2 linked regions of the Anolis sagrei genome follow. The protein of the gene in region 2 binds, or shares a complex with, the protein of the main gene of each other region. Links are inferred from orthologs where the notes say so. Each region holds a gene or a part of one and is shown on either strand. Other genes may lie near its edges.

Evidence for each region. The genes of interacting proteins can lie anywhere in the genome.
Region 1: the proteins of SMAD7 (region 2) and SMURF2 are in contact, whole or in part, in an NMR structure (PDB 2LTZ), measured with the Homo sapiens proteins. The link is inferred for Anolis sagrei from reciprocal best matches to the Homo sapiens genes SMAD7 and SMURF2. Residues at the interface, in NP_005895.1 of Homo sapiens: Glu203, Leu204, Glu205, Ser206, Pro207, Pro208, Pro209, Tyr211, Ser212, Arg213, Tyr214, Pro215, Met216, Asp217; in NP_073576.1 of Homo sapiens: Glu304, Arg306, Asn307, Thr308, Ala309, Thr310, Arg312, Tyr314, Val316, Asp317, His318, Arg321, Thr322, Thr323, Gln324, Phe325, Thr326.

The regions. Positions count from the first base shown.
Region 1 is NC_090022.1:179,910,078-179,913,824, forward strand, and holds the start of SMURF2 (E3 ubiquitin-protein ligase SMURF2), read right to left. Parts: upstream 2,939-3,747; 5' UTR 2,903-2,938; coding exon 2,424-2,902; intron 1-2,423. UniProt on the Homo sapiens protein: E3 ubiquitin-protein ligase which accepts ubiquitin from an E2 ubiquitin-conjugating enzyme in the form of a thioester and then directly transfers the ubiquitin to targeted substrates.
Region 2 is NC_090022.1:288,283,700-288,287,446, reverse strand, and holds the start of SMAD7 (mothers against decapentaplegic homolog 7), read right to left. Parts: upstream 2,587-3,747; 5' UTR 1,280-2,586; coding exon 667-1,279; intron 1-666. UniProt on the Homo sapiens protein: Antagonist of signaling by TGF-beta (transforming growth factor) type 1 receptor superfamily members; has been shown to inhibit TGF-beta (Transforming growth factor) and activin signaling by associating with their receptors thus preventing SMAD2 access.

The DNA.
Region 1 (3,747 bases), about 110 Mb from region 2:
TCTACACTGCCATATAAAATCCAGATTATCTGCTTTGAATTTGATTATCTCACAGTGTAGACTCATATAATCCAGTTCAAAGGAGATAAAGTGGATTATCTGATTTGATATTCTGGGTAATATGGCCGCGTAGAAGGGACCTGAGACTACACTAACCATATAATGCAGTTCAAACTGCATTATATTGCAGTGTAGATGGGGTGTACTAAGACCCTTTCTACACGGTCATATAAAATCCAGATTATCAACTTCGAACTGGATTAAATGGCAGTGTAGACTCATAATCCAGTTCAAAGGAGATAGCATGGATTATCTGCTTTGATAATCTGGACTATATGACAGTGTAGAAGGGCCCTTAAAGAGTTGCGAAGAGGTTTCAGTTTTGAATCCCTCCTTTCCGGTTCCTTTTAAAATTGACCATACTTTAGAATCCTATGCTGTATAGAGAGGAAATGAAATCAGGGGTTCTTTTACACAGCCATATAATCCAGAATATCAAGGCAGAAAATTCCACAGTATCTGCTTTGAACTGGGGCCCCTTCCACACAGCTGTATAAAATCCCATATTGAATTGGATTATATAGCAGTGTGGACTCAGATGTTCCAGTTCAAAGCAGATATTGTGAGTTATTGTGCCTTGATATTATGAGTTATATGGCTATGTGGAAGGGCCCTGAGTCCACACTACCATATAATCCAGATAATGTATGATTTTATACAGCTGTAAGGAAAGGTCCTCAGATAGCCCAGTTCAAAGCAGATATGGGATTTTATGCCTTGATATTGTGGGTTATATGGCTGTGTGGAAGGGCCCAGAGTCCACACTGCCATATATTCCAGTTCAAAGTAAATAATGTGGGGCTGTATAATCAGCTGTGGGAAAGGGCCCTGAGTCCACATTACCATATATTCTAGTTCAAAGCAGATATTGTGGGATTATATTCAGCTCAAGGGTCTGGAGAACAAGCCCTATGAGGAGCGGCTTAGGGAACTGGGCATGTTTAGCCTGAAGAAGAGAAGGCTGAGAGGAGATATGATAGCCATGTATAAATATGTGAGAGGAAGCCACAGGGAGGAGGGAGCAAGCTTGTTTTCTGCTTCCTTGGAGACTAGGGCGCGGAACAATGGCTTCAAACTACAAGAGAGGAGATTCCATCTGAACATTAGGAAGAACTTTCTGACTGTGAGAGCCATTCAGCAGTGGAACTCTCTGCCCCGGAGTGTGGTGGAGGCTCCTTCTTTGGAAGCTTTTAAGCAGAGGCTGGATGGCCATCTGTCGGGGGTGATTTGAATGCAATATTCCTGCTTCTTGGCAGGGGGTTGGACTGGATGGCCCATGAGGTCTCTTCCAACTCTTTGATTCTATGATTCTATGATTCTGTGGAAGGGCCCAGAGTCCACACTGCCATATAATTCTGATAACGTAGGATTTTATACAGCTGTAAGGAAGGGCCCTCAGATAACCCAGTTCAAAGCAGGTATTGTGGGATTTTCTGCCTTGATATTCTGAGTTATATGGCTGTGTGGAAGGGGGCCTGAGAGCTGAAGAGAATATCACATTTTTTGCTTTGAACTGGGATATATGTGGACTCAGATAACCCAGTTCAAAGTAGATACTGTGTGGTTTTCTACCTTGATTTTGTGGGTTATAGGTCTGTGTGGAAGGGCCCAGAGTCCACACTGCCATATATTCCAGTTCAAAGCAGATATTGTGGAATTGTACTCAGTTGTGTTGAAGGGCCCAGAGTCCATACTGCCATATATTCCAGTTCAAAGCAGATATTGTGGGATTGTATATTCAGCTGTGGGAAAGGACCCAGAGTCCACACTGTCATATATTCCAGTTCAAAGCAGATATTGTGGGATTATCTGTGGGCTCTTCCACACAGCGGAATAAAACCCTACATTATCTGCTTTGAATTGGGATATCTTGCAGTGTGTGTGGAAGGGCCCTGAGTCCACACTGCCATATATTCCACATAATCCAGTTCAAAGTAGATACTGTGGGATTTTCTGCCCTGATATTCTGGGTTATATGGCTGTGAGGAAGGGCCCAGAGTCCACAGTGCCATATATTCCAATGCAAAGCAGATAATGTGGGGTTGTACTCAGCTGTGTGGGGAAGGGCCTCCAGAGTGGCTTGCTGCCTCCTGAGGCCTTCCCTTGAGGCTTTCTGAGGGAGACTGCAGGTTCAACCTCAAAGCCATGGAAGCCTTGTGTGTGTGTGTGTGTGTGTGTGTGTTCCCCTTCCCCCCACTCCCCTTCCCCGCTTTATTTCCCCAGCCCCCCAACGCTGTGAGCCTTCTTCTCTCCTTTGGAAGGCCCCGTGTTTCCTGAAGTAACGCCTGAACAGGAGCACAAGGCTGTTTCTCCCCCCCCCCCCCGCGCCCCTTCCTCCCTCCCTTTCTCTGCCTGTCTCTCACCTGTCAGTCGCAGCTTGACGGGCCCGTTCCTCCGGGCCCCGGGGTTGGACATGACCCCCTCCCCCCGAGGAAGGCAGGAGAAGGCGGAGGAGGGAAGGCAGGCCTGCTAATGGAGGCGGCTCAGGGAAGAAGCAGCAGCAGCAGCAGCAGCAAGCAGGAACAGCGGCGGCAGCGGCAATCGCCGCCGAAGGGAGAAATGCCCGGATGTGCCCAGTGTCGCCATGAGCAGGGCTCGCCTCAGAAGAGGAGGAGGAGGGAGAGGAGAGGAGGCCGCCTTCCTTCCTTTCTTCCTGCCTGCCTTCCTTTCCTTCCTTCCCGCCCTCTTGTCGGGCAACAAAGGCGGGGAAGGGAAGCCAGAGGGCTGTCCCTCCTCCACACAAAGGGGGTCTCCGCTGTAAAACCGCCTGCCCCGCCTCCTCCTGGCTGCTGGGAGGCTGCACTGGATTCTTAACGCAGTTTGGCCCTGCTTGAACTGCCATTGGGTCCTGAGCTGCCTTTTCTGTGGGCCCTTCCACACAGCCTTATATTTCATGATATCAAGGCCCACAGTATCCACACAGTCCTATATCCCACAATATCAAGGGAGAAAATCCCACAGGATCTGTTTTGAACTGGGTTATTTTGAGTCCACACTGCCATATATTCCAATTCAAAGTAGAAAATGTGGGATTTTATTCAGCTCTGTGGAAAGGCCCTCAGATAACCCTGTTCAAAGCAGATATTGTGGGGTTTTCTGCCTTAATATTCTGGTATACAGGGCTGTGTGGAAGGGGCCTGGGTTATCTAAGTCCACACTCAAATAATAAGGGGTTTTCTGCTTTAATATTCTGGGATATAGGGCTGTGTCTGGGATCTGGCCGGGGTGGTCCATGCCTTGGTCACCTCTAGATTAGATTACTGCAATGCGCTCTACGTGGGGCTGCCCTTGAAAACGGCTCGGAAATTCCAACTGGTCCAACGGGCAGCAGCCAGGATGTTAACCAGGGCTCCATACAGAGAGAGGTCAACCCTCCTGTTCAAGGAGCTCCACTGGCTACCATTTATCTTCCGAGCCCAATTTAAGGTGCAAGTGCTTACCTTCAAAGCCCTAAACGGTTTGGGACCAGCCTACCTGCGTGACCGCATCTCCGTCTATGAACCCACACGTTCACTTCGCTCATCCAGAGAGGCCCTGCTCGTGATTCCGCCTGCGTCGCAAGCGTGCTTGGTGGGGACTCAAGACAGGGCCTTTTCTGTGGTGGCCCCCCGACTCTGGAACACCCTCCCAAAGATCTTAGACAGGCCCCTACACTGGCAGTCTTCAGAAAGAACTTGAAGACCTTGC
Region 2 (3,747 bases):
AATTCTCCCTCCAATCCCCTTCCAATGGGGGAAGAAGTGGATAAAGAAATGGAGAAAAATATGGAGAGAGAAATAAAGGAAGAAATGGAGAAATAAGCAGAGGAAGAAACAGGGGAAGAGTGGGGGAAGCAGTTGAGGAAGGGGCACTCCCTTCCACAATCCCCCCTCCGATCCCCTTCCAATGGGGAAAGAAGTGGATAAAGAAATGAAGGAAGAAATGGAGAGGATAATAGAGAGAAAAATGGAGAAAGAAGCAAGGGAAGAAGTAGAAGAAGAGTGGAGGAAACAGTGGAGGAAACAGTGGAGGAAGGGGCGCCCCCTACCCCCCTTTCCCCCTCCAATTCCCTTCCAATGGAGGAAATTGATAAAGAAATGAAGGAACAAATGAAGAGGATAATAGAGGGGAAAATTGAAAGGGAAGCAGGGGAAGAAGTAGAGGAAGGGTGGGGGAAGCAGTGGAGGAAGGGGCGCCCCCTCCCCCCTTTCCCCCTCCAATACCCTTCCAATGGAGGAAGAAATTGATAAAGAAATGAAGGAAGAAACTGAGAAAGAAATACTGGAAGAAAGAGGGGAAGAAGTGGAGAGAGATGGAGGGGAAGAGTGGGGGAAGCGGTTGCGAAAGTGGCGCCCCCCTGCCCAAGCCCCCCTCCAATCCCGGCTACCTACCGAGTTCGCAGAGCCTGCTGAGGTGGAAGGGGTTGCAGCAGAGGGGCTCGGGCCCGGGCGCCTTCCCGTAGGACTCGCAGGCGGGGAGGCGCTTGAGCTCGGCGCCGGGCCGGAGGTCTGGCCATCGGAAGACCTTTCCGAGGAGGAGCGGGAGGGAGTACCAGTGGGGCCCCAGCTTGGCGTCGCCCTTGCCGGGCAGGAGGAGGCAGGCGGTGCGGGTGGCGCCGCGGGACTCCACGGCCTGGAGCAGCGCCTCCAGCTGCTTCTCCTTCAGCCGCTTGAGCACGGCGTGGGTCAGCGCCTTCAGCTCCGCCTCCGAGCCGCCCGCGTGGGGGCCCTTGGGGGCCTTGCCGCCGCCTTTGCCCAGGCAGCAAACCCGGCTCCCTCCTCCTCCGCCGCCGCCATGCGCCCGGGGATCCAGCGCGCCCTCGCCCAGCTCCCCGCCGCCTTCCTCGTCGCCTCCTCCGCCGCTGGAGCTGCCTCCGCCGGTTCCTCCTCCTCCGTGGCCGGTTCCCCCAGCTCCCGCCGCTGCTGAGGCCGCCGCCGCCGCTGCTCCCGGGGCACGGCTCCGCCAGAGTCTCCGAACGAGCACCGAGCGTTTGGTCCTGAACATGCGGGACGAGAAGAAGGGCGCTCCCCGGCTAAGCAGCGGGCATGCCGTCCGCAACTCATGAAGGATCCGGGGCCCGAGTCCAGGCAGCCAGGGCCAGCAGCCTGAAATGATGATGGGGCCGCGGAGGGAGAGCCGAGAAACGGGGGAAGGAGGGAGGGGAAAAACAAGGGAGGGAGACCCACGAAAGGCCCCTCTCCGCCTCGGCCTCGGAAAGGAATCCGCCGCCTTTACATCCACGGAAGGAGAGAAAGAGAGCGCGAGGGAGTTCGTGGGGAGGCCTTCCTTTCGCCTTCCCTTCCCTCCTCAAAGAGCAACACAACACACCGAGTCAGAGCCAAGAGATAGACACCATGCCCTCGCTCGCTTCTCCTCCAAAGAAACACAATCCGGATGGATGGAAGGAAAAGGAAGAAAAGAAAGGTGTATTTCCAAGGGTGCTTCTCCTTCTCCTTCCTCTTCTTCTCCCAAGCCTAGAGCCAAGTCGTCTTCTGAAGTGAGTGAGGATGGAGGAGTTGCGTGGCTTAGTTCCCTCCTCCTCCTCCTCCTCCTCCTCCCCCGCCCCTGAAGGAAAAGAAGGGGCTGCGAAAGAAACACAGGAAAGGAGGAGAAGAAAGTCTCCCTCTCTCCAGCAAGGCACACGCTGCTGCTCCGGAGGATCCTCAATCAATGCACAATCCTTCCCAAGGAATCTCTAGATGTGGTCCTGCTCAAAGGAGGGCGAGGCAAAATAGATATATATTTGTAGCGAGTCTTTAAGACCAATCCACTGCCACAATCGCGAGGTTTCTTCTCATCCAGACCAAAAAGAAATCCGTGCCTGGCTTTGGTGAGGAGGGAGAGGAGGAGGGGGGCTTTTCTACACTGGGGGGCTTCTCCTCCTCCTCCTCCAAAGCTGGAGCATCGCCTTTCCGTGCAAAGCCAGCAGCCCCCTTCTTCTTGGAAAGGCTTGCCTTCCTTCCTTCCTTTCCTCGGCACAAGAGCGAGGTTTCCTCGGTGCCAAGTTCTCCCCCACAATCTCCTCTTTTTTGGAGGGGGAAGGGGAGGAAAGGAAAGGAAAGGAAAAGGGGGAAAGGAAAGACGAAGAAGAGAGAGAGAGAGGAAACGCCGCGGTGCCCAAGAAGTCGGCGAGGAGGGAAGGACCGAGGAATGACAGGCGGGGGCAGAGTGTCGCCAGCCAAGCCTCCTGTCTGTCTCTGTCTGTGTGTGTGTGTTGTGTGTGTGTGTCTGCGTCTCTCTCTCTCTCCAATGCGGTTCCCTCCGCGCCTCCTTCTCCTTCCTCTGACGGCTGTCTGCGCCCTCCTTCCTTCCAGCCGGAGCAGCGCCTCTGTCGACACACACAGAGACGACGCACAGACACACACACACATACGCGCACAACAGGGAGGGAGGGGGGAGGAGAAGGGGGAGACCCAGAGCTCTCCTTCGGCCCGGGCTTCCTCTCTCTCTCTCCTTTCCCTCCCTCCTGCCCTTTTTCCGCTCCCTTTCTACCTCCTTCTTCAAGCGCAAGGAGTGGAAGCCAACAGAAGGAGGCGCGCCGTGCGCCCTGGCCTCGCTTCCCTCTCCAGCCTTTTCCTCCCTTCCTTTTTTCGAGCCGACCTCGCTTGGGAGGCTTATGCGGGCACGGATAGAAAGAAGAGCCTTTTCAGAATGGAGTGGTCGCCATACAATGTTGGATTTGGGTTCTTACAAAGAGGGGGAGAGGCGGGAAAGGGGTGCCCCCCCTCCCGGCTTGTGCGCCAGTCCCTTTTACGCACGGATTGTGCGCGCTCGATATGCTCTGCGTTGGCTCTGGTTTTTTCGTGCCAAGGCGACAGGGGAAGGGGGGCTAATGTGGGCTGGGGTCCCTTCTGCCCCCTCCCCACAACCCAGTCCCCTCTTCTCCCTCCTCTCTTCCTCTTCCTCCTCTCTTTCCCCTCCTCCTTCTCCCGCCTGGCTTTGGGTAGCTTTCCGACTGCGCAGTGGGCCACTCTCTTCCTCCTCCTCCTCCTCCTCTCCAATCCTCTCCTCCTCCTCCTCCTCGCCGCCTCTCCCCGTCCTCTCTTATCACGTGGGCGTCTAGACACCCTGTCGCTTTTTGATTTAAAAAAAAAAAGAAGCAAAGAAGGGAAGGAGGGGGAAAAAAACACCCAGCGATTGTATTGCGCAAAGGCGGCATCGGGTGGCTGGAAGCTATTTTTTTCTCTCCTCCTTTTTAATTCCTGAAGTCCAAGGGAAGGGAAGGAAGGAAGGAAGCTCGCAGGGTTGAAAGGGAAATCTCGAGGGAAAGAACATCAACAATCATAGAAGCAAGGTTCAGGACATCCGAGGAAGTGGGTTGGTGATGCTCTTCAAAGCTCACCAGACTCAGGACTCTCAACCTTTCTCATGCAGTGACCCCTTAATGCAGTTCCTCATGTTGTGGTGACCCCCAACCAGAAAATTATTCTCATTGCTACTTCATAACTGCAATTTTGCTACTGTTCTGAATT